Linked DNA regions of Rattus norvegicus. The protein of the gene in region 1 purifies or fractionates together with the protein of each later gene. This does not show direct contact. Links are inferred from orthologs where the notes say so. Each region holds a gene or a part of one and is shown in the gene's direction. Other genes may lie near its edges. The genes, in order: Anapc16, Cdc27, Anapc2, Anapc7 and Anapc13.

What was found.
Region 2: the proteins of Anapc16 (region 1) and Cdc27 purify together in Homo sapiens (affinity purification with mass spectrometry; 10 studies listed by BioGRID and IntAct, with this or other methods). This does not show direct contact. The link is inferred for Rattus norvegicus from reciprocal best matches to the Homo sapiens genes ANAPC16 and CDC27.
Region 3: the proteins of Anapc16 (region 1) and Anapc2 purify together in Homo sapiens (co-immunoprecipitation; 5 studies listed by BioGRID and IntAct, with this or other methods). This does not show direct contact. The link is inferred for Rattus norvegicus from reciprocal best matches to the Homo sapiens genes ANAPC16 and ANAPC2.
Region 4: the proteins of Anapc16 (region 1) and Anapc7 purify together in Homo sapiens (affinity purification with mass spectrometry; 6 studies listed by BioGRID and IntAct, with this or other methods). This does not show direct contact. The link is inferred for Rattus norvegicus from reciprocal best matches to the Homo sapiens genes ANAPC16 and ANAPC7.
Region 5: the proteins of Anapc16 (region 1) and Anapc13 purify together in Homo sapiens (affinity purification with mass spectrometry; 3 studies listed by BioGRID and IntAct, counting the BioPlex papers as one, with this or other methods). This does not show direct contact. The link is inferred for Rattus norvegicus from reciprocal best matches to the Homo sapiens genes ANAPC16 and ANAPC13.

The regions. Positions count from the first base shown.
Region 1 is NC_086038.1:28,468,355-28,473,311, reverse strand, and holds the end of Anapc16 (anaphase-promoting complex subunit 16), read left to right. Parts: intron 1-87; coding exon 88-162; intron 163-2,153; coding exon 2,154-2,269; 3' UTR 2,270-3,030; downstream 3,031-4,957. UniProt on the Homo sapiens protein: Component of the anaphase promoting complex/cyclosome (APC/C), a cell cycle-regulated E3 ubiquitin ligase that controls progression through mitosis and the G1 phase of the cell cycle.
Region 2 is NC_086028.1:89,924,269-89,930,321, reverse strand, and holds part of Cdc27 (cell division cycle protein 27 homolog), read left to right. Parts: intron 1-2,676; coding exon 2,677-2,774; intron 2,775-3,426; coding exon 3,427-3,581; intron 3,582-3,684; coding exon 3,685-3,896; intron 3,897-5,001; coding exon 5,002-5,116; intron 5,117-6,053. UniProt on the Homo sapiens protein: Component of the anaphase promoting complex/cyclosome (APC/C), a cell cycle-regulated E3 ubiquitin ligase that controls progression through mitosis and the G1 phase of the cell cycle.
Region 3 is NC_086021.1:28,482,390-28,489,093, forward strand, and holds the start of Anapc2 (anaphase-promoting complex subunit 2), read left to right. Parts: upstream 1-2,238; 5' UTR 2,239-2,243; coding exon 2,244-2,402; intron 2,403-2,638; coding exon 2,639-3,261; intron 3,262-3,497; coding exon 3,498-3,630; intron 3,631-4,386; coding exon 4,387-4,561; intron 4,562-5,666; coding exon 5,667-5,786; intron 5,787-6,704. Other genes in the region: microtubule nucleation factor SSNA1, read right to left, coding at 1,181-1,288, 1,652-1,851, 2,025-2,076. UniProt on the Homo sapiens protein: Together with the RING-H2 protein ANAPC11, constitutes the catalytic component of the anaphase promoting complex/cyclosome (APC/C), a cell cycle-regulated E3 ubiquitin ligase that controls progression through mitosis and the G1 phase of the cell cycle.
Region 4 is NC_086030.1:39,817,178-39,823,664, reverse strand, and holds the start of Anapc7 (anaphase-promoting complex subunit 7), read left to right. Parts: upstream 1-2,050; 5' UTR 2,051-2,179; intron 2,180-2,765; exon of another isoform or gene 2,766-2,767; 5' UTR 2,768-2,921; coding exon 2,922-3,022; intron 3,023-3,038; exon of another isoform or gene 3,039-3,982; intron 3,983-4,144; exon of another isoform or gene 4,145-6,487. UniProt on the Homo sapiens protein: Component of the anaphase promoting complex/cyclosome (APC/C), a cell cycle-regulated E3 ubiquitin ligase that controls progression through mitosis and the G1 phase of the cell cycle.
Region 5 is NC_086026.1:112,082,154-112,088,913, forward strand, and holds the start of Anapc13 (anaphase-promoting complex subunit 13), read left to right. Parts: upstream 1-2,251; 5' UTR 2,252-2,304; exon of another isoform or gene 2,305-2,493; intron 2,494-2,522; exon of another isoform or gene 2,523-2,662; intron 2,663-4,584; exon of another isoform or gene 4,585-4,676; intron 4,677-5,907; 5' UTR 5,908-5,934; coding exon 5,935-6,033; intron 6,034-6,760. Other genes in the region: Cep63 (centrosomal protein of 63 kDa), read right to left, coding at 1-5. UniProt on the Homo sapiens protein: Component of the anaphase promoting complex/cyclosome (APC/C), a cell cycle-regulated E3 ubiquitin ligase that controls progression through mitosis and the G1 phase of the cell cycle.

The DNA.
Region 1 (4,957 bases):
TCAAATGTAGAAGCAGGGAATGAGTGGACAGCCTCTCTTGCTTTGCCAGAAGCTATTAAAGCTAATGCCTGTGCCTTTCGCTTGTAGATGGCTCTGAGCGATTCCTCTGTGAGTCGGTGTTTAGCTATCAAGTGGCATCCACACTTAAACAGGTGAAACATGGTGAGTATAAGACCTGTTGTCCTGTGCATTTATGGGAAGTGAAGGGACACAGCCTATGAAAGGTCACTGCTGTGGCAAAAGCCACACACTGGTTAAGTGGACCTTCTGAATTGAAGGACATTCTAAAATCTTGTTGAGCTTGAAAATCCCCTTGGAGGTTTGAAGTTGAAGCCCCGGGTTCAGTTCTCTAGTGGAGCTGCTGCTGCCTGCTCCTCAACTGCCTTTGTCCCCTCTCCTGAGACTAGCTACTGCTCCCCTTCAGACATTACATTCTTCTAGTGTCTGTAGCGCCTTCTGCCCTGTGGAAGCCCTGAACTCCGGGTGGCACATGCACTTCACTGAGTCTCAATATGCACCAGTCCTCCCAGGTCAAACCATGGCAGCTTCCGCCTCAGCCACCTGAGAGCTAGGATTGCAGACATGAGCCCCGAAGACCATCTCCACGATTTAGCATCTAGCACATCTGAGAGAGTGACTGTAGTAATTATCTTTTTACTCTTCACAGTGCTAGGGCTCAAACAAGGAGCACGGCATACACTAGCATGTGCTTCACCACTGGGGCTCATCCCCAGCCCCTCATAACTGAGAGGCTTTCCCTTAATTATGTTTCTTATTATTTTCTCATTCTGAAACTCATTTCTGAAATTCTGAAACGCGTAGCCCAGGCTGATCTAGAACTCAGAGCACTTCTCCTGCCTCCACTTCCCAAGTCTGTCTGTCTGTCTGTCTGTCTGTCTGTCTGTCTGTCTCTGAGTGTCTCCCCTCATACCCTCCCTCCCCCTCTCTCCCCCCTCATCTCTGTCTCTGTGTGTGTATGTGTGTCCCCCTGTCTTTCCCTCACACTCACACTCTCTTTTTCTGTTTTTAATTATGCACGTAGGTATGCAGTCCACATATTGGTGTGTGCAAGTGAGAGCGAGGACCTCAAGGGCCTAATGATGACAGGGACTCCTGGAGCTGGAGTTACAAGTGGTTGTGAGCCATCTGACAGGGGTGCTGGGAATTGAACTCAGAACCTCTGCAAGAGCACTCTGTGCTCTTAACTAACTGCTGAGCCGTCTCTCCAGCCCCTCTCTTTTCTTTATTAAGAGATGGTAGGGGCTCACTTTGAGTTCCTCTCCTGCTACAGGATCTACTTTGCTGCAGCAATAAACCCTGCTTGCCTCTGAGCAGAGGGAAGTTGTTAATACAGATTTAAACATAGGGATTAGTAGGATTAATAGAGAGAAACCTTAGGAAAAGGAGAGCACATACCCAAGTATGGGTGTGGGCTCCGCAAGAGAGTCACCTGTATTTCTTAAGAACTGTATTTAAAATTATCTTAATATAAAAAACTTTGCAGACTCAGAGAAAGAAAAGAACATGGAAGCCCCATCTTGAGATTTGGTCCTGGAAAGGGCTGAGTCTGAAGGGAGATAAAGGGGTGACATACCTTGCCTGGTTCAGACAGCAAGAGAAAAAACAATGTTCAGATAAGAGCTGGAGAGATGGCACAGCAGTTAAGAGCCCTGGCTCTTCTTCCAGAGGACCTGGGTTTCATTTCCAGCACCCACAGGGTGGCTCACAAGCATCCGTAACTCTTGCTGTAGGGGATCTGACACCCCCTTCTAGCTTCCCTAGTCACATACACATACATATAAATAATAAGCAAATAATGAGAATGAACGGATTCAGGAAGTTAGCCAGTGCCAACCTCTGCCCACCATGTACATGACACACATCCACATACATGTATACATCCACACAAAGGGCAGTGTGCATGGAAGCCGATAGAGCCCAGTGGTGGAGCACTTGACCCTGGAATGCAGGTGAGTGGAGAATGGCTAGAAAAGGGGAGTTTGGTTCGGTTTGGTTTCAAAAGTTTGTCTTCAGACCTACATAAAGTAAGGAAAGTCTGCCTTGAGATTAAGCCTAGATAGTTGTCATGTTGGTAACTTTGGTGGCAGTCTAATGGGAAATGTCCTGGTGTTCTATCTCTTGACTCTTTACAGATCAGCAAGTCGCTCGGATGGAAAAACTGGCTGGTTTGGTGGAAGAGCTGGAGGCTGATGAGTGGCGGTTTAAACCCATCGAGCAGCTGCTGGGGTTCACACCCTCCTCGGGTTGATGATGCTGCATGGTCTCCCAGAGAGTCACAGCTATACTGTGAGCTGCATGTCTGAGTTCACATCCATACGGCTCCTCTGTTTCTATTAATAGGCAACAAGTGCTCCTGTGAGACGGCACTGGGGTGTTTTTCACATTCGTGTTCTGAAAAGTATTGGGCAGCACTTGGGAAGCAGGAGCAGGAGGATCTCTGTGAGTTCGAGGCTAGCCTGATCTACATGGAGCTCCAGGACAGCCAGGGCTATGTAGAGAGACCCTGTCTCAAAAATAAAAAGAAGTATTGGGGATCAGATGACCACAGGCCTTTCAGAGAACCAGGAGAGTTGGGATTTAGGAGACATTTAGGACACGTGCCAGAATCAGCCAGATGAGTGGCGTATATCCTGTCATTCAGAGTGTCTGGAAGCTTTCACCAGCCAAGCCCAAGGTCAGCATCTGTCACTTCACGGTCACAGCCCAAACATTTCTCTTCACACATAAATGTGATTTCAGCTCAGGGACTGTCCAGATGGGAACTTTAAAGTATTCTTTCCTTCTCTATTCTTAGACGTTTAATATTACTGATTATTTTTCTCGCCTCTTACCACATGGCAAATGGTGCTACTCTACCCCATCTCTGCCCTACCAAAATTGCTTTTTGAATGTCACAGCACTTGAAAACATGAAGTGACCTAAATCCTTTTAGACCCAGAAGTCCTTAGTCCAGCTCGCTGGGGTATGAAAGCAATTCTGTAGCAAATAAATCCTTGCAAGAGCTCCAAATTGGTGTGCTTATCCTTTCAAAGTCGGGGGGATTTAGACAGAGAGGAGAGGCCGGGTGAGTTTTCCCTTAGATTCTGCAGTCACTTCTCTTAAGTAAACAGTAGGTTTGCTTTGCTGTGAGCTGTTCGCTTGTATAGAAGTTCCAACTTACTGCTACCTCAGTCGATGTAACAGTTTGTTGGTTCATTCATTTGGAACCTCGTCTCTCCGTAGCTAGGCTGGCTTCAAACTTATAGTCATCCTTCTGCCTCAGCCTAATATGTCTGAGGATTACCCTCCTCTCTTCACTAGGTTTTTACAGGATGATAGAGAAAAGCCTGGATGACCAAGACCTTGTCATGACCCACACCACTGCACAGTTAGGAGTGCTCTGTCACATACACATCTGCCCGAACTGCTTACAGTTGCTTAATTATAGATGAATTTAATCCTTCATCTCAGGAGTTCAAACTGTTTGGCACAGAGTCCCTGAGAGGGACGAGTTAGCCTCACTCACTCGGGAAAGGCTAAGCCAGTGAAAATAAACTGCTGTGCAGGGTTGCATAGCTCAGGCAGAAGACAGCCCTGTGAGTGGGAGTGGATGAAAGCTGACCGATTGTGGAGCCCACTGCTCTTGTCTGAAGCAAACCAGAGCTTGGGGGTACCGGCCCACAGCCTCACCCTCTCTGTAGTCTGCTCAGCCACTGTGAAAGGCCATTCCCAGCTGCTTCCCTAGAGAGCAGTGGGATTCCCAAGTGCAGTGAGCCCTCTGGTTTCATAGTGAAACCACCTCCCTTTGCCCCTGGTACTTACACTTACTACAGAGCATTTCCTCGTTTAGGTTGAGCATTTCATAATGTGACCTTGAACATTAAAGAGAAGCCAGGCTTGGTATCACACACCAGTAATTCTAGCACTTGGGAGGTGAAAGTGGAAGAATTAGGATTTCATGACCAGCCTGGGCTACATAAGACCTTAGAGAGAAGCTAGCAAGAGGATAATGGAAGAGATTAGAGAGACACGGGGCTCCTTTGTGAATGTTTCCCATGAATCACTCAGCTGTTACAGGCCCTCCCAACAGAGCCCTGACTACTCTTTTAAAGGTGTGTTCCAGCTCTCTGCACCTTTCATTGGCTGTTGTCTCTCACCCCCAGTCTACCTCTGACTCATCTCTCACTGTGTCAGACCTTAATTAGCCCTTTCTATAGCTAAATACTACCCCACACATACCATGGAAGAGGGGCATGAGGTCCAGAGCAAGCTGCATAGCTGAGGTCCAGTCTGCCAGCCCCAAAAGCTCAGACTCTATGAAACATGGTATTGTAATCCCCAGCCTTAAATTTGTACAGTGAAAGCTCCTGGGGCTAGTAGGATGGCTCAGTCAGTAAGGTGCCTCCCAAGCACAAGGGCCTGGGTGTCATCCCCAGAACCCACATGAAGCCAGACATGGCAGCATTTGCAAAGAACCAGCCCTGAGGAGGCAAAGCTAGGAGACTTACTGGCAACCAGTCTAATATTCGGTGAGCCTCAGGCCACTGAGAGACCGTGCTTCAAAGGACATGGTTGGCACCCCTGAGGATGGTATAAATTTGTCCTCCACCCTACACGTGGACATGCCTACACACATGCATACACATCAAGGGGAAATGCTAAAACTTGTGTATTGGTACAGCAAATTGTCACTGTCCTGCCTTCTACCCTGAGGCCTGGTAAGGAGGACTCTGAAGCACAGTGGAGGCTTGTTTACCTGGTTGCCCCCTAATAGACTCAAACGTAAACTTTGATGATTTGGTTTTGTTTTTCTGTTTTTTTTTTTTTTTTTTAGACAGGGTTTTGAGTACCCAGGTTGATTTTGAACACCGATCTCAGGTAACCCAGGCTGGTCTTAGAGTCTTGATTCTCTTCCTTCTACCTACTAAGTGCTAGCATTAGCAGGTATGTGCTACCG
Region 2 (6,053 bases), on another chromosome or scaffold:
CTGGACTGTGCCCATTTGATATAGACTCCTGTATAGAAGTGCTCTGGACTGTGCCCATTTGATATAGACTCCTGTATAGAAGTGCTCTGGACTGTGCCCATTTGATATAGACTCCTGTATAGAAGTGCTCTGGACTGTGCCCATTTGATATAGACTCCTGTATAGAAGTGCTCTGGACTGTGCCCATTTGATATAGACTCCTGTATAGAAGTGCTCTGGACTGTGCCCATTTGATGTAGCCTATATTGATGTTTACAGACCCAGTTGGCTTTGTAGTTCTAGCCTTTCCCATCATGACCTCATTCCATCCGTTACCTAGTAAGGACGTCGTCCCATTTGCACTCTGCTTAGCTCCTTAGTGATAGTAGCTACAGTTCTAGCAAGTTGTCACCACTGAAGACACCAGTGGTTTCTTTTCCTTAAAATTAAATACTACTCTTTCCCTTAGAGTTGTGGAAGGTAGGTTTCAGTAATGCAAATTAAGTGTTATTTTCTTCCAATATGTAGTAACCTTTGAAGTGTGTAACAAGGATTTTTTTTTTTTAAAGCTTAAAGATTTATTTATTATATATGAGCACACTGTAGCTGTCTTCAGACACACCAGAAGAGGGCATCAGATCTTATTACAGATGGTTGAGAGCCACCATGTGGTTGCTGGGATTTGAACTCAGGACCTCTGGAAGAGCAGTCAGTGCTCTTAACCACTGAGCCATCTCTCCAGCCCTGTAACAAGGATTTTTAACATCCATGAACTCAGAATTACTATATAATAGTAACATGGTTCTCACTCCTGTTTTAAAAAATACGTTTGAAGGGGTTGGGGATTTGGCTCAGTGGTAGAGCGCTTGCCTAGCAAGTGCAAGGCCCTGAGTTCGGTCCCCAGCTCCGAAAAAAAGAATAGAAAAAAAAAATACGTTTGAAGTTGAGTAGAAAAATAGAAAATATTCAAAACTGCCCATCGGGATTTTTTGCATGTAATAAATGCCATCTGTTATATATTATGAAAAAAGGGATTAAAGCCTACAAAGAAAGAAAGAAAAAGAACTGCTGTTAAAAAAAAAAAAAGGGGGGGTTGGGGATTTGGCTCAGTGGTAGAGCGCTTGCCTAGGAAGTGCAAGGTCCTGGGTTCAATTCCCAGCCCCGAAAAAAAGAAAAGAAAAAAAAAAAAAGTAGCCAGGTATGGTGGTGTATCCCTTTAATCTCAGCACGCAGGAGGCAGAGTTTAAGGCCAGCTTGGTATTTGTGGTGAGCTCTGGGCCATTCAGGGATACATATGACTTTTTGTGTAGAATAAATTATCTGGTTAAATAGGGGGTTTTCAGGTGATGTCAAATCATTCATGCCACAGTTGTGAACTAGAATAAAGAAAGATAGAATGAGTTGAAAAATGGTGTACGCCTTTCGTCCCAGCACTTGGGAGGCAGAAACAGATGAATCTTTGAGTTCTAAGACAGCTAAGGCTACACAGAGAAAACCTGTCTCAAAAAAAAAAAAAAAAAAAAGAAAGAAATGAAGCTGGGTGCTGTCGTCCAGCTATGATTATTGTTGTCATTCATTCGAGGGATGCTTGAGGTTCTTCTCCCATTATACCTAAAGACGGTAAGGACTTGGTCCTGGGAATATTAAAGGGACTAACTCACAGCCCCCACCATATTTTGTGATGGAGAAGGAAGAAACAGTAGTTAAAATTTTTATTATTGTCAAAAGGTATTGTAATAAGGTTTGGGCAGTATTTTGATCAGGTGAGGGAATGCTAGTTTTAACTGGTTAAGAATAAAGGCAGCAGCCTGTGTTCCGTCCTCCATGCTGGGCGGGAAGGAGTAGTAACAGAACGCACCTAGAGGAGAGTTGACAGCAAAAAGAGTCATTTTTTTCTTATATGGTGGCTTCTCAAAAAAAGTAGATGTTTGAGGGCAATAAATGATTTACAGGGAGTGATGGGGGAAGGAGGTTGAAAAAATAAAAATCTTAAGGAAAAATGTAGAAATTCTTTTAAAGTATAATTAGATTAGATAGAAAAATATGTATATTTTGGAATTGCCAAAAGCAAATATAGGAAGGCTAATCACAGGAGTTTAGATCAATCCTCAAACATTGAGATTTCATTGGATTTTTCCCTTTAATATTTCTTTAGTGAATGTATTTTCTGTGCGTTGCATGTTTGCAGTAAGGCCAGGGGAGAGGTTGATCTTTCTACGTCATTCTACCTTCTTTTAATCAGGGTCCAGTCTCTGTCTCTGTCTCTGCCTTTCTCTCTCTCCCTCTCTCCTTCTCCACTCACTCACTCACTCACTCACTGAGCCTGGCAGTCACCAGATCGCATCCATCCTCCTGTCTCCACCTCCCATAGCACAGAGGTCACACTCATTTATGGTCACACTCAGCTTTTTTTTTTTGGCATGGATGCTGAGGTTCGAACTCAGGTCCTTGTGCTTGTGCCACAGCCCCTGTATTTTTCTTTTCCTTAACCTTGGATTAATATTAATTAATTGGTGTTAATACCCATGGATTGATTTGTTATTTATGACTTCTATTGCTTCTAGAAAATTATAATTTAGGGACGCATCAAAGAGTGCTGTGAGAATTTTTATAAGATTTACCTGGTTTTTTATATCAAAAATTATAAGAAAAGCTTTAGGGCTTATAGTTTATTTAATCCATTGTTTCTCTCCACAGCAAGACAGATCGGCTTGCCAAAGGATCAGAATGTTACCAAAAGAGCCTTAGTTTAAATCCTTTCCTCTGGTCTCCCTTTGAATCGTTATGTGAAATAGGTAAGCTCATGGAGACGGTGGCGGGAGCGGTCTTCTTCCTCTTCCCCTTTTCTATTTCTCTCTCTCTCTCTCTCTCTCTCTCTCTCTCTCTCTCTCTCTCTCTCTCTCTCTCTCTCCTTTCTGTTTGTTTTATATTGTATTTTTTGAGTTCGGGTTTTCTCTGGAACTCTGTAGACCAGTCTGACCTTGAGCTCACAGAGATCATCTGCCCCTGCCTTCCAAGGGCCAGGACTAAAGGTGTTTGCCACTGCCTTCTGGCAGCAAGATCTAAGTTTACTGCCAGCTTCAGCCGCATTCAGCTTCACCACTAGGGGAGTTTGCAGGCAACCCTATCTCAAAACGCATCTTACTTCATGCAGAGGTTTTCAGGTTGGGCAGCAGACACCTTCCCCGCTGTACCTTCATGCTGGCCCTGAGTTATGATATTTAAAACTTGTAATTTAGTTTATTTCCCAAATGTAATCTTTAATGTAAGGGTTAACTTCCACAATAAGTTAATGATTGGGCGTTTGGGAGGTAAGATTGATAACATAAGTGGGCAGGAGAATTTTGAAACTCCAAGGCTTTATTTGTACCTAATTATGTATACTTGAAAAGAAATTACCCCTCAGAGGCAAGTTTTTTGTTTTGTTTTGTCTTTTGGTCTTCACAGGTGAGAAGCCAGATCCTGACCAAACATTTAAATTAACATCTCTACAGAATTTTAGCAGTTGTCTTCCCAACACGTGTACAGCTCTAGTATCTAACCACAGTTTATCTCACAGACAGCCTGAGACAGTCCTTACAGAAACTCCCCAAGACACGATTGTAAGTGCTTTCCTTCTGATGCTCAAGTATTCTGAACACCCGCAAGGGTGATTGGGCCTTAGCAGTGTATCATAAGTGACATGGTAGAAAATTTCTGTTTCAGGAATTAAACAGACTGAACTTAGAATCTTCCAATTCAAAGTACTCCTTGAATACAGATTCCTCCGTGTCTTACATTGATTCAGCTGTAATTTCACCAGATAACGTCCCCCTTGGAACTGGTCCTTCCATATTATCTAAACAGGTTCAAAATAAACCAAAAACTGGTCGAAGTTTATTAGGAGGACCAACTGCTCTTAGCCCATTAACCCCAAGGTAAGTCACACAAGATATTTTAAAGTGTATTCTAATATATTAATGATCTTTGGTGAACCCTATTACTAGTAATGTAAGTTAATTTAAACAGCATCCTCTCAAATCAGTGTGACAGATTGGCGTTCTGTTTTCAAAAAAATGAAGTAAAAAAAATACATCTATAACATTTTTGAATTAAATATTAAAAGGGTGAGAATGTAGCTCAGTTGGTAGAATGCTTGTAGAGCATGCACAAAGATCAGGCTTGATTCTCAGCACTCTGTAAACTGGGCAAGGTTTCAAATGCATGAAATTTTACCACTTGGGAGGTAGAAGCAGGAAGGTCAGAAGTTCCTCAGCCAGGAGTTAAAAGTCAAAGCCTATGATATGTGATGATCTTTCTCAAAGTAAAATTAAGCAGAGGAAAATATTAAAGCTTTTTAAATATGTATCAATTAGTGTATATGTGTATTAAAGATCCAGTCTTTATGGCTGTGCATCTACAGATAGCAGTGAATCCCTCCAGATGTATGTGTATGGTGTGCTTATGGCAGCATTTCCAGTCCTCATTTCTGAAACCTGTCATTGGGAAATAATGTTGTCAAGATTATTAAAAGTGTATTATATACGTATACAATAACACTTCACAAAGGATACGTATCAAACTATCAAACATACCAGAACTATCAAACAAACTCATGAAAAAATAGACTATGAATGGAGTCTCAAGGCCAGAAAGCTATTAAAATAGCATGACCAGGAGATTGATTGGGGCATCTGCAGAGACCAATGGATAACTGTATCGATAATTATTAAGTAATTACTAGTAATCTCTAGAATATTGTCTTCATTGTTCCAAAAATTGGGGTTTGTTTTCATCATTTGGATCATAGCTTTTAAACAGCAGTCCGTTTCTAAGAAAAATAGCCACTGTTCTCTTCAGGTCCTTGTCCTGTCTCTGTGGTTCTGGGGGGTGGAGCCCTCTACATTCACAGCTCATGTTGAACCTGCCCCTCAGGTGACTGACTTGCCATTCTCTTCCTTTTAGACCTTCTAACTTAAGTATACTGCTGCTTTATATATGCCTTGATGACTTTTTGACACCTTGATTTCAACCTCTTCTCAGTTTTGGGATTTTGCCATTAGAAACCCCAAGTCCTGGAGATGGATCCTATTTACAAAACTACACTAATACACCTTCTGTAATTGACGTGCCATCCACCGGAGCACCTACTAAAAAGGTACTTTCTGTGTAAAATGTAGCTTGGGTATAATTAAAGAAACTTATTTAAGGGGTTGGGGATTTAGCTCAGTGGTAGAGCGCTTGCCTAGCAAGCACAAGGCCCTGGGTTCGGTCCCCAGCTCCAAAAAAAGAAAAGAAAGAAACTTATTTAAAACTACAATCTATTAAGGTAATTTCAAGAGAATCCAACTTTATATAATTACTACTTCCTTAGAGTTACTGACCAATCATGAAAGAATGTCCTTGTCGTATATACATAGCCTACCACCTGTATCAGACAGACTCATCAGTGTTGGCTTTTCCAACTTACACATCTAGTTCTTTTAAATATCTAGCTATATAAATGTCCATGAACTAAATTAAGATCATTTCTGTCACGCTGAACAATTAGGTCAGAAGAGGCAAGCAGAGGTTTTTTTTCTCTTCCCCTTCTAGGCAAGCAGAAATTTAAACAAAAAAAAAGAAAGAAAGAAAGAAAGAAAAAGTAGGAAGAACTGGTGATGCAAAGGAGCAGTGTCTTTATAATTTAGAAAGGGACCAGGCGAGTTTTTTAAATCTCTTCCGACTTCTAGTTAACTGTTTTACTCAGTGCAAAAGGAATAGTATAAAATCTTGCTGTTTCATCTTCTTTATATTTAGCAAGTTAATAAATATTGAAAGTAATAGCTGGGGGCTGGGGATTTAGCTCAGTGGTAGAGCGCTTGCCTAGGAAGCACAAGGCCCTGGGTTCGGTCCCCAGCTCCGAAAAAAAAAGAACCAAAAAAAAAAAAAAAAGAAAGTAATAGCTGTCCTAAATTTTTAACACAGTATAGTGGTGGTGATTGTTTAGGGTGGCATTATCTGTTCTGGGCTGTCTTCGTGGAGAGAGTGAAGACAGGAGGGAGCACCGTGGTGTCTTTTGTGGTTTGCAGTGCAATCTGTGATCACAAACCTTT
Region 3 (6,704 bases), on another chromosome or scaffold:
AGTGTGAAAATGTATGTTTCTCTCAAGAAAATAAAAGCCCAGTTTTTTTTTTTTTGTTTTGTTTTTTTGTTTTTTGTTTTCCAGAGCTGGGGACCGAACTCAGGGCCTTGTGCTTGCTAGGCAAGGCCTCTACCACTGAGCTAAATCCCCAACCCCTAAAAGCCCAGTTTTATAGGTACTTTTTTTGTTTAAGAAAGGGTTTCACACTGTGTCCCAAACTGGTTTACAGTTTACTATGCTCACTTGAATAGCCTTGAACTTAAGGCTTCTTCCTCAACGAAGGGATGATAGGTGAAAACTACCACAGCTGTTTTCTGGATCTTCTTGGTCAACAAATACTTCCAAACTTCCCCAGAAGCTGTGCAAAGGGCTGGGTCATAGGGCACATGGAAACAGGAAGTAAGCAACAATGTGGTTGGGAGATGGGTCCTGGCAGCAGCAGTGTATTGGACCAAACAGAACTTTGTACTGAGAGATGAACTGTCCCTGTCTCTATCTCTGAGCCAGGCTCTGTATTGAGTACCATTGTACAGCAAAGCCCCTCACAGAATAGTAGTTTGTGTGCTGAACTTGGGGAAATATCAGCAGCAGCTTTTCAAGGAAAGTTCCAGGCTAGGGCTGACCTGAGTGAGGTGAGAACTTTTAGCTCTGTGCTCTGAAGATAGGAGAGTCAGGGAAAAGCTGCAGGTCTTCCTCCTACCAACAGGACACATGGTAGCTGGCAGGCCATGCCACAGATCTTGCAAAACAACCTTTATTGAAACACCAGAGGTCATGGGGATGGGCCCTAAGGTTTTGGTTCTGGAGCCAAGATTCTTTCTTCAATATGCCTGGCCTGGGGCCCTAGTGGCTGAGGAGACAAAGTGAGGGGCTCCCACAGTACCTGGACTAGGACCGAGACATTCCTGGCAGCCCAAGGAGATACAGGAGCTTCAGAAAGAGGCTCCTCATGGAGCTGACCAGGAGCTCAAGGTTCCAATAACACATGTGAGTGCGGAGCTGGGAACACATCTTCCATTGGACTGTCCTGGGGCTTGTCTTGTCACTCAAGGCAGGTGGAGGTCAGAAATTGACACTCAGGGCACCAGAGATAAAAGACATCTGAGGCCATGGAGAACAAAGATGCTTTAGGACAGACATGTTGGGGAGCAGCCATAGGCCACGGCTGAGACAGGGCTTGTCAGCTGTCTTTGCCTCCACTACTCTTCTGGTCTGAAGCCGTGGCTTTAGTCAGGTTCCCAGCTTCTCTTTTGAGTACACTAAGCAGAGTCTGAGAGCTCTCCAGGATCTGGGGCCAGAGAAATAGAAGGATGTTATTTCTCTGGTAAGAAGATTCCCACTGCCTCAGCCTCTGATAGTGGAGGATGGGAATCTCAGTCTGGCCATCTGTGCTGAGTCAACGGGTTATGGAGGATGGTGGGGGCAATAAAATTATCCTCCCTCCTGCACCTGTCCCAGAGCTCTTCCACCCTGCAAAGCCAGGCTGAGTTAGTTCACCCACCACTATGGTACTCTGTCCAGCACACCACTGCTCACTCTCTTGGATCCCACAAACAGCCCACTGTCCGGCCTACAGCCTCTGAACCACAATGGGCCCTACCTAGCCTCAGATGGTAGTGAGGCACTGACAACGCATATCTGAGAGCCCCACCTTGAGGTAGGCGGCCTCTGTCTCCGCAATGGTCCGGTCAAACTCGTTGCGAGAGGCGATCTTGCGCGCCAGGTTCTCGTTGACGCGGGCCAATTTCTCCGTGAGCTGCCTCACCTCATTCTGTAGCCGCTGCTTTTCGTCCTCCTCCTGCTGGATCTGCCGGCACAGCTCCTCTCGTTTCTGACACAACTCTTCGATGCCTAGGGTGGGCGGGAAGACAGAGCTGTAGGTTGGGGCTCGTGAACTTCGGACCCCGACCAGCACGACAGAGGGGAGGCCGCAGAGCGGAGCTCGTGAGGCATGTCGACGCAGCCTCCCGAGTGTGTGGGTTGGCCGGCCCCCGGCCCCGCGGCCTTCAGCGCCCGACGCTCACACTTGACCAACTCGTTGTTGTAGTTCTGCAGCGCCGCGCCCTGTTGGGTCATGGTCGGCACCGCGTCCGTAAGCCTCAACCGCCGCCTGCACCGCCAAGCCCGCGCCTGCGCACTGCCTACACAGCGCGCGCGAGCAAGCGAACGTCACGACTGCGCCACAGCCCGCGCTTGCGTCATCACCGTGCGCTACGCTGGGCGGGTCTGTTTTGTGGACAGTGATGGAGGCCGAGGGTGTGGCGGTATCGGTGGCGGCGGCGGCGGCGGCGACAACGACAATTGTCGCCACGGATGACTGCGACTCTAGGCCTGGACAGGAGCTCGTGGTTGCCTGGAATACTGTGAGCACCGGTCTGGTGCCGCCGGCTGCGCTGGGGCTGGTGAGGCCGGGGAAAGGTTGGCGGGCCTGTGCAGAGTTGCCACGACTTTGTCCTTTAGGGAGTCCATCCTTGGGTCCTCATAGCTCCCGTGCTCTGCCCGTAGTGGGCTTGCCTCCTTCCTCAGCTATCTGATTTGTTTGGTTTCCTGGCAGCCCTTCGGCTGCTGTTTTTTTCCACACCCCTCCTCTCCTTTTACCCCTGTTCCGCCCCTCTGCTCACGGTTTTCCGTGCTCCAGGCATCTTCCCGGACCAGCGGTGCAGTTCCACCAAAGGAGGAAGAGCTTCGTGCAGCGGTAGAAGTTCTGAGGGCCCACGGTCTGCACTCTGTCCTGGAGGAGTGGTTCGTGGAAGTGCTGCAGAATGACCTTCAAGGCAACATTGCCACGGAGTTCTGGAATGCCATCTCCCTTCGCGAAAACTCTGTCGATGAACCCCAATGCCTTGTGCTGCTCCTGGATGCGTTCGGTCTGCTGGAAAGCCGCTTGGATCCCTATCTGCATAGCCTAGAACTCCTAGAGAAATGGACTCGTCTGGGCTTGCTGATGGGCGCTGGAGCTCAGGGTCTTCGGGAGAAAGTTCACACTATGTTGCGGGGAGTCCTGTTTTTTTCCACCCCTAGGACATTCCAGGAGATGGTCCAGCGCCTCTATGGTCGTTTCCTGAGAGTCTATATGCAGAGCAAGAGAAAAGGAGAAGGGGGCACAGATCCAGAACTAGAGGGAGAGCTGGACAGCCGGTATGCCCGCCGCAGGTACTACCGACTTTTGCAGAGCCCTCTGTGTGCAGGATGTGGCAGTGACAAGCAGCAGTGCTGGTGCCGGCAGGCCCTGGAGCAGTTCAACCAGCTCAGCCAGGTCCTGTAAGTACTGCTTCCTGGCCATGCCTCAGTTTCTTTAAAAAGATCTCTGAATAGAGCTAATAAACTGGATGGCGAGGTCTTTTTCGCCTATACTTGTGACCAGGGATTATTGTGTATCAAGTGTATGCTGTCCTGGACATAGGCCTAGGGTGTGTGTACAGTGTCTTTCTGGGAAGACCCCTTCGGGTAAAGGACACATGTGTTGTGGGTTCTCCATAAGCGGGGATCTCCTCCAGGCATAGGCTCAGTCTGCTGGAGCGGGTTAGCGCTGAGGCCGTGACCACCACCCTGCATCAGGTGACCCGGGAAAGGATGGAAGACCGCTGCCGAGGAGAGTATGAGCGCTCTTTCTTGCGTGAGTTCCACAAGGTGAGAATCTCCTCCTTGGTCTGTTTCCTGTTAAGGGCAACGATGGGGTTGGGGTAGACCTAATAGCAAACAGTGGAGTGGTGATGGTTGAGATTATCTTGCTGCCGTATAGAGGCCAATCTTGGACCCTGGTGACAAGGACAAATCTGGTATGTACCAAATAGGTCTGTGCATTTAAAATAAAACCTTTAAATCCTGGGCCAGAGGTGGCTTCAAGGAGTTTCCTCAGGCAGGTGTGGCAAGACAGGTCTACCAGACCCTTTTCTTTCCACTGTCCTATAAAACATATGTTGACTTAACAGTTCCCTTCAGGATTAACCTATAACCAGTCTGGAGCTAGGCTGTCCTCAGTGAATGCCTCTGGTTGTCCATACTCTTGAGGTATGGTTTGTAATTCTTCTGTGGGGTTCCCAGCATTGTGAAGAAGCCAGGTTGAGCTCCATGCAGTCGTGCACCTTGTTTCTGCTTCAGTCCATACCTCCCACTCTTTGAGTGTCTGTCTGCTGCAGATGCATATTAGCCATGGTAGGGAATGATCAAAGTGGGTGTCCCCGCAGTGTTAGCCGTGTAGAGTCATGAACCTGGGAACTCCTGGGGCAGCTGCATTGAACCCTGGGCAGTGGAGTGTAGATCTGATACTTCTGGCCTCCATGCACAGGTCGGGGCTCCACTAGCATCCTGCCGAAGCTGTGTGGTTGCTGAGTCAGAATGGAGCTTTTAAATGTTATTACACCTCATACTAATGATCTTTCACAGTGGATCGAGAGAGTGGTTGGTTGGCTTGGCAAAGTGTTCCTTCAGGACAACCCCAGCAGACCAACTTCTCCAGAAGCTGGGAACACACTGCGTCGTTGGCGCTGTCACGTACAGAGATTCTTCTACCGAATCTATGCCAGCCTACGTATTGAGGAGCTTTTCAGCATCATCCGAGGTTGGTCCTGCTTCTTACTTTGCAGGACCTACCTTTCCCAGTCATTTTCTTTGCCTTACCTGCTGCTGTTGGCAGGGTGATAAGCTGAGCAGAGTGGACTTAAGTATAACATGTAGGAAAATATAGTGTCAGGTTGTAGAGATGTCTCATCAGTTAAGATGGCTTGTTGCTCTGACAGAATACTCAGGTTGTTGTCAGCACCCGTGTGGCAGCTCATAGCCATCTGTAGCTCCAGTTCCAGGAGATCAAGAACCCTCTTCTGCCCTCCACTGGTACCAGGCATCCACATGGAGCCTATACATCTGGGCAGCAAACAGTCCCTGCAAACAAATACTCACATGCATAAAGATTTTAATCTTTTTTTTTTTTTTTGGTTCTTTTTTTCGGAGCTGGGGACCGAACCCAGGGCCTTGCGCTTCCTAGGCAAGCGCTCTACCACTGAGCTAAATCCCCAACCCCAAGATTTTAATCTTAAAATTTAAGATTTGCAGCCGGCATTGGTGGCACACACCTTTAATCCCAGCACATGGGAGGCAGAGGCAGGCAGATGGTTCTCTGTGAATTCAAGGCTGGCATGGTCTACAGATTGAGTTCCTGGATAGCCAGGGCTACACAGAGAAACCCTGTGGTCTCAAAAAATCAGGAGGGGGAAAAAAAAGATTTGAAGGCATTTTTACTAATTGCATTGCAAGAGTCGTTTGGCAACATTTTATTTCCATTTTCCCAAGAACTAGTACAACTTGGGACAGTTCAGCTATCTACCATGGAAGGGATGACTGTGTTGTGTGAGTCAAAGCAGCTGTTGGAGCTTTAAGTGTCATTACACCTCACACTAATGTACTAATGATCCACAGTGGATGGAGAGAGTAGTTGGTTGGCCTGGTAAAGTGTTCCTTCAGTGAAGCAGTCATATGTGCTTCTGGTTAGATGAGCCATCTATAGTCAGATTGGCCTCCAGTGACAGTTAGTGACAGTAGAATGTTTGGTACCTGATGGATGGTTCTTGTCTGAGCCCTGCCAGGTTGTGTTTCTTGTGCTGTGTGTATCCTTTAGTGCTTATCACCCCTTTTCATTTACCTATCCCTATGGCACCATTCTCTTTCAGACTTCCCAGACTCTCGGCCAGCCATTGAGGACCTTAAGTACTGCTTGGAGAGGACGGATCAGAGGCAGCAGCTCCTCGTGTCCCTCAAAGTGGCCCTAGAGACTCGACTCCTCCACCCAGGTATTGTGTGGCCACTGTGGCCTGACCATTCAGATAGCCCTCAGGGTTCACATACAGTTCCCAGCCCTGAATTTGTAGTCCTGAGAGAGGAGCATGTTATTAAGCAGGGAGAGCTGGGCTAACCCTGAGCTTTATCTGTTTTTGGAGGAAGTCAGAGCATGATTTGGTCTGGGACTGGTTTGTGATCTTTTTGGAATAGGCTGCTTCTTAAGGGCAAAGTTTCTATACTAATCTCAGAAGGTTGCAGTTCATCATAAAAGCCTTTTTTTTTTTTTTTTTTTTTTTTTAATGTAGACGAGACTGGCCTTAAACTCACTGCCTTTCTCTGCTTCCCAATAGCTGGGATTAAAGGAGTACACCACCACACCTGGCTTACTAAAGACTCTTGGGTCTAAGTTGGTAATCAAACATTCAAAATTTACTGCAGTAAAGAGCACTGACTGCTCTTCCAGAGGTCTTGAGTTCAAATCCCAGCAACCACATGATGGCTCACAACCATCTGTAATGGGATCTATTGCCCCCTTCTAGTGTGTCTGAAGACCTGGACTCACATAAAACAAATAAATCTTAAAAAACAAAACAAGGGGCTGGGGATTTAGCTCAGTGGTAGAGCGTTTACCTAGGAAGCGCAAGGCCCTGGGTTCGGTCCCCAGCTCCGAAAAAAAGAACCAAAAAAAAAAAAAAAACAAAACAAAACAAAACGAGCCTGTAGGGGACATTCTAAACTCAAACCGTAACAGACTGCGTCTATAAACACTCTAGAGACTGCGTCTGTAAATGGAATGAGTAGGGCAGAGGCAAGAAGGTAACTCACTGCCGTCGGCTTGAATGAGGTCCCTGGTGATCGTCAGACACCCAGCCACATGGCCAGCTGCCCATTCAGGTGTTGGCGTTCAGGAGACTGCTGTCCAAGCCGTT
Region 4 (6,487 bases), on another chromosome or scaffold:
CTCGTCATATATAAAATGAATAAATAAAATCTTTTTTTAGAAAAAGAACATTCATAACAACTTGTAAAGGTACAGAGTGGAATCTTTTTTTTTTCTTTTGGTTCTTTTTTTCGGAGCTGGGGACCGAACCCAGGGCCTTGAGCTTCCTAGGCAAGCGCTCTACCACTGAGCTAAATCCCCAACCCCACAGAGTGGAATCTTAACATCAGCCTCCATGTTCCTTCGGTGGTTTCCTCCCCCCAGTCTCCTCCCATTCCAGTCTCCTCCTCTTCCTTCAAACTTTTCTCCCACCCATCTTTTCTTCTCGTCCAATGACAGGCCTTATTCTATCTTGGCACAAACCCCAAATGGCAGCATTTTGCCTTTTTAGGTATATCTTTCTCCTTTTTTTCTTTCTTTCGGAGCTGGGGACCGAACCCAGGGCCTTGCGCTTCCTAGGCAAGCGCTCTACCACTGAGCCAAATCCCCAACCCCAGGCCTTATTCTATCTTGTACCCGCCTTCACCTGTATGACATCATCCCACAGGGTCCCACTGTATCCATTTGACTCTTCATTGATTGCTCAACACTTATTCCCGTTATGTGGCTACCGTTAAGAAGTAGGACGTATTTTTTTGTTTGTTTGTTTTTGTTTTGAAACAGGGTCTCACTATGTATCCCTAGCTGTCTTGGAATTTACTAAGGTAGACCAGGCTAGCCTTGAGCCCACAGAGATCCAGCTGCTTCTGCCTCCCAAGGGCTGTGCCTTAAGGATTTTGTCACCATGCCTGGCATGTTTTCTTCCTGACTTGGGTCTTCTTATAGATACATCAGGCTGGCCTGAAACTCACTATATAGCCCTGGGCTGCCCTTGGTTGTTCTTTCGAAGGTCCTGAGTTCAATTCTCAGCAACCACATTGGTGGTTCACAACATCTATAAAGGGATCTGATGCTCTCTTCTGACATGCAGCTGTACATGCAGACAGAACATTCGTGTGTGTGTGTGTGTGTGTGTGTGTGTGTGTGTGTGTGTGTGTTTCTGTCATGATTTTTCTTAGAATAAATGGACTTTCTTTCGCATCTGTTTCTTTAAGATTAAGTGAATAGGACTCAGTTGGTAAAGTGCCTGCTGCGTGCCTTGGATACTATTCTATTGCCGTGAGGAGACACCATGACCGAAGGCAACTTACAAAATAAAGCACTTAATTGGGGACTGCCTTGCAGTGTCAGAGGGTTAGCCCATGATCATCACAGTAGGAAGCAGGGCATCAGGCAGTCATGCTCTGGAGCAGTAGCTAAGGCCTTACATCTGATCTGAAAGGTGGAGGCAGAGAGGGAGTGAGACTGGGCGTGGTGTGGGCTTTTGAGACCTCGAAGCTCACCCATAGAGGTACACCTCCTCCGAGGCCACTCCTTCTAATCCTTCCTAAACAATCCACTAAGTGGGAACCAAACAGTCAACTATCCAAGCCTACGGGGCCATTCTCATTCAGGTCACCACCATACTACGGAAGCATGAGAATGTGAGTTTTAACCCAGTATCCATGTGAGTTCGTTCTCTCTCTCTCTCTCTCTCTCTCTCTCTCTCTCTCTCTCTCTCTCTCTCCTGGATTAAAAAAAAATGAAAACAAACCTTGAATCTCAAATCTAAACAAACATCTTCAGTTGTTTAAATTTTATTTGCATGTAGTTACTTATTTTGTGGGAGTGAAAGGCACATGCTGCTGTCTCAGAGGACAACGTGAAGGAGTCTGCTCTCTCCTTCCACCATGGTGGACACAGGGGGTCCAATTTAGAAAGCTAGCCTTGCTGATAAGTGCTTCTACTCTTAAGGTGCCCAGCTTTAACATTTGAAAGTTTGGGTTTCTTCGTTGGCAAGTAGGGAATGAATGACAATTCAGAGTATTTATCTATTTTAGGGGAGGCTTTTTCAGACACTGTTTCTCTATGTATCCCTAGCTGTCCTGGACTCTATAAACCATGTTGATGTCGAACTCACAGAGATTAGGCTGCCTCTGTCTCCCAAGCGCTGGGATCAAATCACCGCCCGGCCATAAGTTGTTATTTTTTTAATTTATTTTTATGATTATCATGCATTCCTGAATGTATGTCTGTATACCACATGCATGTATGTGCCCATGGACACCAGAAGGAGTCGGATGCCCTGGATCTGGTCTTACAGACTGTTGTGAGCCACCAGGTAGGTGCTAGGAACGGAATTCTTCTGCAAGAGAAGCATGCAGATTTAACTTCTGAGTCGGCTCTCCACCCTTTATGGGAATGGCTTCAGCGTTGCAGTTTGTGACTATGCAATGCAGTAACGAGTTCGTAAACGCTTGAGATGTTGACAGTGGAGCCATCAGAGATCCAGCTCACTCCTGGACCTATCCTTTCTTTGTACTTGGATTTAGCGGGCCACTTGAATTGGTAAACCATGACTTGTAGCAAGGAATCTACTCAGCGAGCGACAGGAACACAAGCCAGCAGATGAGGGGGCGTGGCACCTTCCCCTGGAGCGCACGCGTAGTGGAAAAAAGTCAGCCCTTGGGCGCCTGATTCAAAAATTCAATTTTAACTGTTAGTTTTCCGCCTCTGCTAGGTTTATGATGAACTCCTAAACATTGTTGCTAGCCTCTGAGAGGCGTCCATTCTTCTTGGGTTGTCTTTATCTCAGCAAAACCACTATTCCTACTCGGATATTCCTTCTAGCGTGGTCAGTCCTCAATAAAATTTATCCTTTAATGATGGGGCAACCCCTTTCGCCTCACGACTGCCTCTTTTTACGCAGGCACATCCGTAGCAACCTATATCTTCGGGGGGCGGAGCCGCGTCTGGACCAGAAGGACCCCGCCGCCGCCGCCATTTTGGAACTTTCCCTGAGACTCGGCTCCGCTCCTGGGGGTTCTGTCAGCTGCTGCTGGGTCACGGTGTCGCCGGGCAGGATGAGTGTGATAGATCATGTGCGGGACATGGCGGCCGCTGGGCTGCACTCCAACGTGCGGCTCCTCAGCAGCTTGCTGCTGACCATGAGTAATAACAACCCGTGAGTGGAGGCGGGGAGCGGCGGTCTGGGAGCCGGGGCTGAGATAGTGGAGGACGCTGTGGTCCGGCTGAGGCTGCGCGGATAGCGAGGGCCTCTTCCGGTGGTCTCGGAGGACTGGCTATTTCCAGAACGACGCAGTCCTCTTGCTGCCTCCCGGAGACCCAGTCCACCCAGTCAGACATGGAGGTTCCGCTCTGGCGTAGGGAGGGAACCCCACTTTCGAGACTGGGAGCACCCTTGGCGAGCGTCGTGGCGCCTTTTTTTTAAAGGACTCTGGCAGCCTTTTGTAAGGCCCGACGCAGCCGCATTGTCGTGACTGGTTTGTTTTGGTTTGTTTACAAACAGGCTCTCCTGTAGCCCAGACGAGCCCGCAACAGACTGTGTAGTCGAGGAAGACCTTGCTCCCAGAAGCTGGGATCGCTGGTTTTTGCCCCACTGTGCTCGGTGTACGTGTGGTCCTGGGGTTCGAACCCGGGATTTCATGCGTGCTAGGCAAACCCTACCAACGGAGTTTACTGAGTCTAGACCGGTTTACTGAGTCTCAGTTGAAGCACGGGACAGTTGTGGCCTTGAGTGCCTGTTGGGCCTTGATAAAAATTCCCCATCATTGCTTCACCCTTCGACGTGGCTTCCCAAGTCAACCTATTCATTCCTTTCTTTGATTTCTCACCTTGCCCGAACTCTCAGTACAAGTTCATTCTCTCCGGGCATTGGCACCTGTGGCTTCACTTCAGAACTGCTTGCTTCCTGGTTCAGTTTTCAGCTCAGAAGCCTCTTCTTAAACGGACCTCCTAGCACCAGACCTTTCCACTTTGATCTTTCCCCTTCTCTCTTGCCATCTGTTGAAAGAGCAGTTTCCATGTGTGAGAAGCACTATTAAACTTAATGAAAGTGCGTGTCTATTACAAGGCAGTCCAATAGGTCGACCAAGATTATACTCCGGAGAACTTAGAGGAGCAAGTGGGTTTGAGTTCTGGTTGTCTGTGATTGGAGATAGTTTCTACTGCAGTCCACCACTGTGTATGTGTGTATATATACATATACATATATATATGTATATATACATATATATATATGTATATATGTATATATGTGTGTATATATATGTAAAATATTTACATATATATGTAAATATGTAGTTGTCTTCAGACACCAGAAGAGGGCATCAGATCCCATTACAGATGGTTGTGAGCCACCATGTGGTTTCTGGGATTTGAACTCAGGACCTCTGGAAGAGCACTCAGTGCTCTTAATCTCTGAGCCATCTCTCCAGCCCCGATCACCATCTTCTTAATGTGACACGGGACGCACTGGTCTCTGTCAGTCTTCTATGTTGATTCTGAGGCCTTTCCCCCTGGGTCTGAGTGATTCGTCATAGCAAATAGTATTGGGGATTAATGCTCTAATCTTTACTCTTGAGTCTTGACAGTGTGTTAGCATTGTCTGAATGCTCTTGAGTTTGCTTCTCTAGCTAGTCTGACTTTGGCTAATCCATGCTTGTTCACACTAGGTTAGATCATCAGTTTTCTTTAGCTACAGGAAGCATTTAAGTTCTGACCTGTATCCTTTATATTTTGTTATTTGTTGAAGAGACAGTGTATACACTGTTGAAAAAAGTTCAGTGGTAGAATTCTTACCTAAAATGTTTGAGACCATAGGTTTCATCTTCAGCACTGCCCAAATCGAAAATGGGCAAGTTGGTTGAACAATGTGTGTAATGTCACATAGGAAATTCAAAGAATGAAGGGTGTTTATGGAGTGGTTTGTTACAGCTTTCCTCTAGAGGTTAGAGTTGTACCTCAGACTTGGAGAGCCTCCCTGGCATGTATAAGACCCAGGCTTGGGTTTATGGCATGGCCAATAGCAAAACAAATTTCTTGGAAGGCCTGATTATATGTATGTATTCACTGAAAAATAAGCGTTTGATGCTTTACTCCCGAAGTGGTCAAATGTTTATACACTGTAACATGCTTGCCTAGTAATGTCTCTCCATACTTGGAAAACAAGGAAAACAATTGTTTTCTCTGGAAAAGGAAGGTGGTTGGGTAAGGTTAAAACTGAGGAAGCAGTGCTCGGCCTTCCTCTATGTTGCTGTTTGAATGTTCTCTTGTTTTGCCTTTTTCTCCCCCACCTCACAGTTTTGAGTGTTTTTGCTTTTGTTTTTGTTGTGTGTACATGTACACAGACATCCAAGTACACATATGTAATAATAAAATTTTTTTTTATGAAGGTACTATAGTTTATTCCCTGCCAAGTGAAATCTGATTAGGGAATGACTGTTAATAGACTTGGAATTACTTTGATTTTTATATTTATGTGCCTGGTGCATTTGGAGGCCAGAAGAAGGCATCGGATTCTTTGGAGGTCAGAGCTGGAGTTCAAGCAGTTGCAAGCTGCCTGATGTGTGTGCTGAGATTCAGACTTGAATCCTCTGCAAAACCCACATGCTCTTATCTACAGAGCCCTTCTAACCCTACTTTTTGAGAGAGAGTCATAGCCCAGGCTGATTTTGGACTGATTATATAGCCAAGGATAGCTCTTTGAATTCCTGGTCCTCCTGCCTCTGCTTCCAAATGCTAGGACTACCAAAGTGTATGATCATACTGGCAGTGGTACCTAATTGTTTGTTTTTTTAAATTTCTCTCCCATTTTGTTTGAGAGAGACAGGGTCTCTGTAGTCCTAACTGTCCTGGAACTGGCTGTATAGACCAGGCTGGCCTTGAACTCCAAGATCTTTCTGCTTCTGCCTCCTGAATGTGAATTAAAGGCCTATGCCACCACATATGGCTTCCCCTATGTTTAAAATACTTGGGCCAGACATGTTGGCACACACCTTTAATCCCAGCACTCAGAAGGCAGAGGCAGGTGGAACTCTGAGTTTGAGGCCAGCCTGGTCTACAGAGCAAGTTCGAGGAGAGCCAGAGCTACATAGTGAGACCCTGTCTTCAAACAAACAAACAGCCAAAACTAAATAATAACATGAAGCAAACTCCTGTTTATAGAATTGCTTGTCCTGGTCTGTTCTTCACTTTCAGAGAAAAATGTATAAACATCTCTTAATTTGGGAAGGAGTGGGACTGGAGGAACAAACATAGGAGTGGTAACCAGGGTTACAGATAGAGCTATGATGGAATGCTTGCATAACGTGTAGAGGCCTTGGACAAAAAGTAAAGCAGTGTCTCGGCATTTAACCTGGCTTATAAGGACTGCTGCATCTTTTTGAGGGTAAAGGATGAAGTTCTGTGATAGGCTTGCCTGTGTGCTCCATGTGAGACACTGAAAAACAAAGAGGAAAGGAAAGTCCGTTCCCACACATTGACTTTACACACCTGAGAGTCCAGGAGCTGTCGTTTGCTTTTTGTATGTAAAATTGAAAGAGACTTCAGGGCCTCGAGAGATGGCTCCATAGCTAAGAGTGTTGGCTGCTCTTGTAGAGGATCTGAACGTCCCAGCATGCATGTCAAG
Region 5 (6,760 bases), on another chromosome or scaffold:
TTCATTGCTGTAGTCTGAAAGGAAAGGAACAGAGTTAAGCATTTTCTTGCTATTCCTGGATAAGCTGTATTCAGGATAGTCAGATAAGAGTGCACTGGGCGCATGACCGTGGCTGTCCTGCAGTAACAGACCTGGGCACTATTAGCCATGTTAAATCTCTCTATTGACCAAAGGGCTCCTGGGCAATTTCATGGTGGATCAACTGAGCAGACAGCATAGGAACCACTACATACACAGCTTAATCTCAACATCCCAAGTGGGATGACTCAGACATTACAAGTCTCCCTGATAATGAATGCAACCGATAATTTTCATAATATAAAGCCTATAACTATTACGTTTTTCTTATACCTCCAATCAAAAATCAAGGTTGAATCTAACACTATTTCAAAAGATCATTGTATTTCAACAGAACTTTCTGTAATTATGGAAACATTTTATCTGTATTGATCAAACAGTAGCCACTAGGCAACCTGTGAACGCTGGGTATATCAAATGTGGCTAACGCAATTGAGGAACCAAACTTTTATTTCATTTAAAATATCAGGACTGGCTGATGACTGCCACACTGGACAGTGTAATTCAAGATTTAGCCAGTGGAGGAGAGGTCATAGAAGAGTAGAGGAACATAGTCAAAAATATATACAATCAGTTAAATCTGAATGATAAATGGAGGTAAGAAAATGCTATAGATTAGAGGGCTTTAAAGGCCTAGCAATCGAAGGCAACAGACAGTTCTCTGCAGGAAATCTGGTCCAAGCACAGTATTTCAATTTCAAGCACATATGGAGTAGCTGAAAAACCCTGAACCCATTGGATATTGATATTGTGTATTTGTTATAAATTTGTACTGATATAAAGATAGCACCGTGATTTTGTAAAACTTAAAAAAGCAAATCTAGCCTTTGGCATGGAGAGTACCTTAACTATGTTAGCTATGATAGTGTGGACTAATGCTGTCACCATCAGCCACTACACAGGACAGGAAGGCCTAAGGAACTGTCCCCTACCTCCCCACAGGAGGAAACAGCATCAGCAGATACACATTCTAAAGGGACATGCATCTGTTTATAAATCTCTAACCCATTTTAGTTTGACAACCTCCTTAACTGATCGCTGAGGACGGCACAGTGAAAGACAAGAAGCAGGGACAAAAATTACCTAAAAATGGCGCTGCATTCCAATGAATGAATATAATTCATGAATGAAACGAAGATAATTCGTTTCATCGTATCACTAAGCTACAGCCTTTAAGAGTAGGTGTAAATAGTTAGATAATTAAAGCCATTGATCTTTGACTTACAAAATATAAATACAAAATAAATGCAAATGTTCGAAGAATTGTACAAAGAGCACCTACCCTGCTTTAATAAAGTAATACATTTTAAAACTCTAAATTGGCCTCAAGAAAGAGAACTCAAAAAGCCAGGCGAGGTGGTGCAGATCCTTAACTAGCAGGCAGAGGTAGGTCCATCTACAATGAGGCCAGCCTGGTCGACCAGAGCAACAAAGGAGAGCCGGTGCTAGTTGGAGAGAAAGGGGATCGCTTTGAGCAATAAGTGTACAGTTTATAAATGAAAACTCTGTAACCCCACGATTCTGTGAAGTACAAAAGCCCTTTCCAATCAATCCATTCACGGTCAAGTGTCTCCGCGTAAAGCGTTGTTATCGAACTGCTCTTTCAAAACTTTCACTCGACTTGAAAGCGTTCCGCAATTCGCCTGCATCAGGGGTTCCCGCACCTTTCCTACGAACATTACGAGGGAACCCTGCGGACTTCACGCTGAGTGGCTAATGCTAAGGCCTGGTCCTACACCCGTAGCAGCAGGGTTCCTCCCCGGGAGCGAAGCAACCCGCCCTCCCGCTGGCCGTAGCACCTGGCCGGTCAGCTCAGAGCCCCATAGGGAGGAGACGGAGGAACCCAGGGACGCAGCGGCCGGACAGCAGTGGGCGTGCAGTGGAGGCCCCCGCGGTAGGTGGGCCGCAACGAACTGCGGCCCCGGGCCATGCGGCCAGAAGGTTAGCGGCACCACGGTGGCCAGGGCCGCAAACGCACAACAAGCCGCAGCTCGCCCGTCTTAGGGGCATGCGGTCGGTTACGGAGCGCGCCCCCGGCAGAGCGCGCCCCGGGGCCTGCCCGCCGTTCCTCTGACCGGGAACGCGCGCACGTCACAATAAATCGACGTTCGTCCCGCCCCCTACAGCAGCGAATGGACTCACCTACATACGGGGTATGAGAGCGCCGTGCGTCACGTGACCCGGAAGAAGGGCGGGGCCCGGAGGAAGCCGACGCGCGCTCTGTGGGTAAGGGTTTTTCGCGCCCGCCGCCCGGGTTTCTGAGAGTAGCCAAGCGTTCGCCCTCGACTTCAGAGTCGTTCAGCGCTTCCAGAAGCGCAGGCCGGTACTCTCAACCGACCTTCAGAGCCACTTCTTTACTGCACGCTGTGCGGAGTGGAACGGAGCACCCATGGCGACGCTCGACCTCCCCCTTGCACTTCCGCACGTAGTAGCTCCAGCACTCGAACCGGAAACGGCTGCAGCGGGTGGTTCTGCGTCTAGTGACCCAAGATGGTGGCCTGCGAAGGCCAATTTTAGTATCGGCCCCCGTGCTTTTAGCTTAGAAATACATTTACAAAGCTGTGATTGTGAAAATACATAAAACGTGAGTATGTCTCATAGGACGTACGCATCTAATATCTAGAAAGAGATGTCTGGACAAAAAAACTCCTGTTGTCACATATTGTGCTCAGAGATCAAGACAATCTGAGAGCTGAGAATTTATCTGGAGGACCGGGCATAGTAAGAGAAGAGTACAAAAAGTTTAAGAAACCTAGAGAGGTTATGCTGTGTCGTAAGGGTTTGGGGCATTGCCTGTGCTTGCTTTTCCCAGGGGGAGCACCCGATCACCTGACCCAGGAAAATAGATGTAGACTTCAAAGCCCTGCCGCGGTTCCTGTTGTTTAGAAGGACGAGCAAGCATAACTGATGAAGTACAGTGGGTGGGTAAAAAGCAAGCCGGTTTGTAGGCATGTGGGAGAGGGTCGTGTTAAAAAACATTGAGGCCGGGCTCAGGGAGTTAAAAAATCATGAGGCCAGGCTCAGAGAGATGGCTCAGGGGTTAAAAACACTGTCTACTCTTCTAGAGGTCCTGAGTTCAATTCCCAGCAACCACATGGTGGCTCACAACCATCTGTAATGAGATCTGGTGCCCTCTTCTGGTCTGCAGGCATACATGCAGGCAGAGAGCTGTATGATATATACATAATAAATAATTAAAAAACAAACAAACAAACATTGAGGCCAGCTTGTTGAAAGATTGGGAATCACCGCATTACCACTGGAGACAGTAGGACTCTGCCAGTCAATCACAAAGCTGACCTAACTTGTTTCATAGATCATTTAATGTGAGCAACAAAGCATTCAAGGACAAAGAGCCTGCTAAAAAACTGGAAGGAAGTCAGAACACTTTAGAAAAGGATGCAGTCTGTATAGGACTGGGAAAATCAGTACAGGAAAGAATGAAATGTAGCCCAAGACACAGCTATAAAAACAAAAGATTGACAGGAAAGGGGAGGAAACTTGTCAAGCCCTAGAGGAGTGACTAGAAGTGGCTCTTCAGCTAGCTTTGCATTATCCACTAGCTAGGGTCTGGTTAAGTCTGAGGAAAACTGCTAAGCCATCACCTGGTTTTCACTCAGCAGGAGGAGCTGACCACCTTTGGCTTCAGTGTTTGTATGCGGGTGTGTGGTGTGTCTGTGTGCATGAGCAGACAAAAAAGGTGTGGTTTCTGCCTACAGGTGGAGTCGTAGATGAGTGTAGAGGTCAGAGGTCAACGTCTGTGTCTTCCTTTATTACTTTGAATCTTAAACTAAACCTGGAACTTTCTGATTCAACTAGACTGCCTGGCAGCCTCCCGGAGGACACAAGTGTGTGCCATCGTGCCAGGCTTTTTACGTGGGTGCCAGCAATCTGAAGTCAGGTCCCTTGTTTGCACAGCAAGCACTTCAGTCCACTGAACCTCCTTCTGGGCCCCATCTTGTTTAATTTTTTAAAGTGAAAGCCCTTTCCCTCCTGCAGACTCGGTAGATAGTGCTAGCTTTGCCTTTACACCATTGGAGACAAGCACATAGCCGTATGGCAAAGTTTGTTTCTTGCTTGAGTCTCCCTTCTCTCAGAAACAGCAGTTCCTGAGAGAGCTACTGGTGCTAACCCTTAGGACCTTTCCTTGGGTTGCCACTTTGTGGCAAGAAGCACAATAGGCTGTGTCTGTGATAAGGAACAAACTTGGAAGCCAGAAACCCAAAAAGCACTGCTTGACGACCAGTCTTTTGAGTTAGACTGCAACAGTTTGAGGAGAAACATGTGAAGCAGTCTGTGGTCAGGGGCCTAAGCAAGCATCCTGAGCCTTTGGAACAGACACTGAGGAAAGCCAACAAGACGGCCTAGTGGCTTACAGGCAACCTGAGTTCAATCTCTGGGACCCACTTGATGGAAGAAGAGAACCAAAATCGCCACGTTGTCCTTTGACTTCCACATGTACATACACAAATAAACAGGGTTTTTTTTTTTTTTTTTCAAGAAGGATGAAGGCTGGATGTTGGGATCGCAGCACAAAGATCCCTGCACCCACAAATATCCAGGGAAAATGTTAAACGTGCAGGATTGTTTTTCCAATGGTAAGATGTAAAACCTGTTCTTCTATCCAAAGAGCTGGGAATTGGAAGTGATTAACAGTCCTGTAATCTGAGTGATCTGTTGGGCCAGACCACATCAGGCTCCTACAGCCAGGGCGAAGGTCGCTGATAGCCCAGGTGAACTCTCTTGCTGTATGACTGAGACCTTCCTTGGACCCCAGTACCTATCTCTAGAACCCGCCTTCTTGGAAGGAATGTCGTGGACCCTAAGTGCAGTTTTAATGTAATTACACTTTCTTGTGCACCAGAAATTGTTATACCAGGAAACTCTTTTTCAAATCATACCAGTTTAAGTCCGTTAGAAATAAACCTCCTGGCATCAAACTCCCCAAGTCTAAGCCAGACTGGTGAAATTTCACTTCATCCTCACCTCCCTGGACTCCTGCAGGATCCCCCTCAGCTGGGGATGTAAGTCAGTTGTCAGCGTGCTTAACCTGTATACACAAAGCCCTGGGTCTGTTCCCAATACCTCACAAAGCAGAGACGGTGGCACAGGCCTGTAATCCCATTGGTAGAGGCAGGAGGATTAGGAGCTTAAGGCTGCTTTCGGTTACAGAGAATTTGAGACTCTCAAAAAACAAAAAGGAGGAAGCCCAAGGGGACAAAGAACCTGGAACTGCCACCGTTGATCTTAAACTTTTACTGTTGAGTTCAGTCTGGATGCTCTTTAAGAAAGGAAGTGGTTCCCTGGGTAAGCCTAACTGCCCACATTGTTCCTGCGCTAAGGATTAGCAGCTGGCCTATGGTTGGTCACCTTATGATTCCCAGTTCAGTGTCACCCAGCATGTTCCCTTAGCTCCTGTGCCTTAAAAATGCCAGTGTTTGAATAAGACAGGTGGAGACTTGTGCCAAATAGTGGGGGAGGGCTTAAGGAGCAGGAGATGACACTCAGACCAAGCCAGTCTGAGTCAAGTCAGAGACTCATCGAAGACATCACAAGCAGGGAAGGGTGATTCTGTAAGATCATAAAGATAAAAGAAAGGACCTTATTCAGAAGACAAGTTTGCCCTCTGGTTACACGGCAGCCTAATCCATCAAGCACCTGTCAGCAGAGGTGAGAACTGTGGCCTTGATGTCATCTGACACAAGATGGGACTCTCCTGGGGTGATGTTAAATACAGTAACAAAACCAGTTTCAAGCTAAAAGCAATCCTGGTACTGGATTATACTGTACCTTCATAGTGTTAAAAAAAATTACCTCTTTGGCTTACAGACCTGACAAGATCAAAGCTGCAGGAGGATGGACAGTGAGGTACAGCGAGATGGAAGGATCTTGGATCTTATTGACGACGCTTGGCGGGAGGACAAGCTGCCATATGAGGATGTAGCGATTCCACTGGTGGGTTGTAATTGGGGCTCAGGAAAAGGAGTCTGAGAGAGAATGTGGGGAGACTCAGTGGGGGTTGGTGGGAAGTGAAAGCTTAGGGCCCAGGAACCCAACTGGCTGGTGTAACCAACTTCATTAGAGATCACATCAGGACTGGAGCCCAGATACTTGGAGCCACAAAAGCCCAGAGGGAGGCCAAAGCCCAGGAAGGCCAAAGCCCGAGGGAGGCCAAGTGTGAGTTTAGCACATCACACCCAGGAGCAAGGAGCATGCTGGCTTATCAGTCTTTTTTGTTCTTGTTTTAAGGTTTATTTGTTTTTATTTATATGTATATATGTATGTGAGAATGTCTGCCACCATGTGCAGGTGGGGAGAGGGACAGAAGAAGGCGTCAAATCCCTGGAGCTGGACGTACAGGTAGTTAGAGGTCACTTGGCATAGGTGCTGAGAACAAAGCTTGGAGCCTCTAGAAGAGCAGTAGGTGATCTTACCACTGAGCCACCCCCCAGCCCTTAGGGTTTATTTCCATTTGTGTCTGTGTGAGTGTGTGTGATGTGAGTGTCTGGGGTACAGTGAGGGAGTGTGTAAGTGCAGGTGCCCTCAGAGGCGGGAAGAGGGTGTTGGATCCCTTGGAGCTAGAGTTAAAGGCAGGTGTGAACCACCCAAAGTGAGTGCCAAAAACCAAACAGTGTCCTCTGCAAAAGCAGTGGAGCCCTTAACCTCTGAGCCGCCTCTCAGC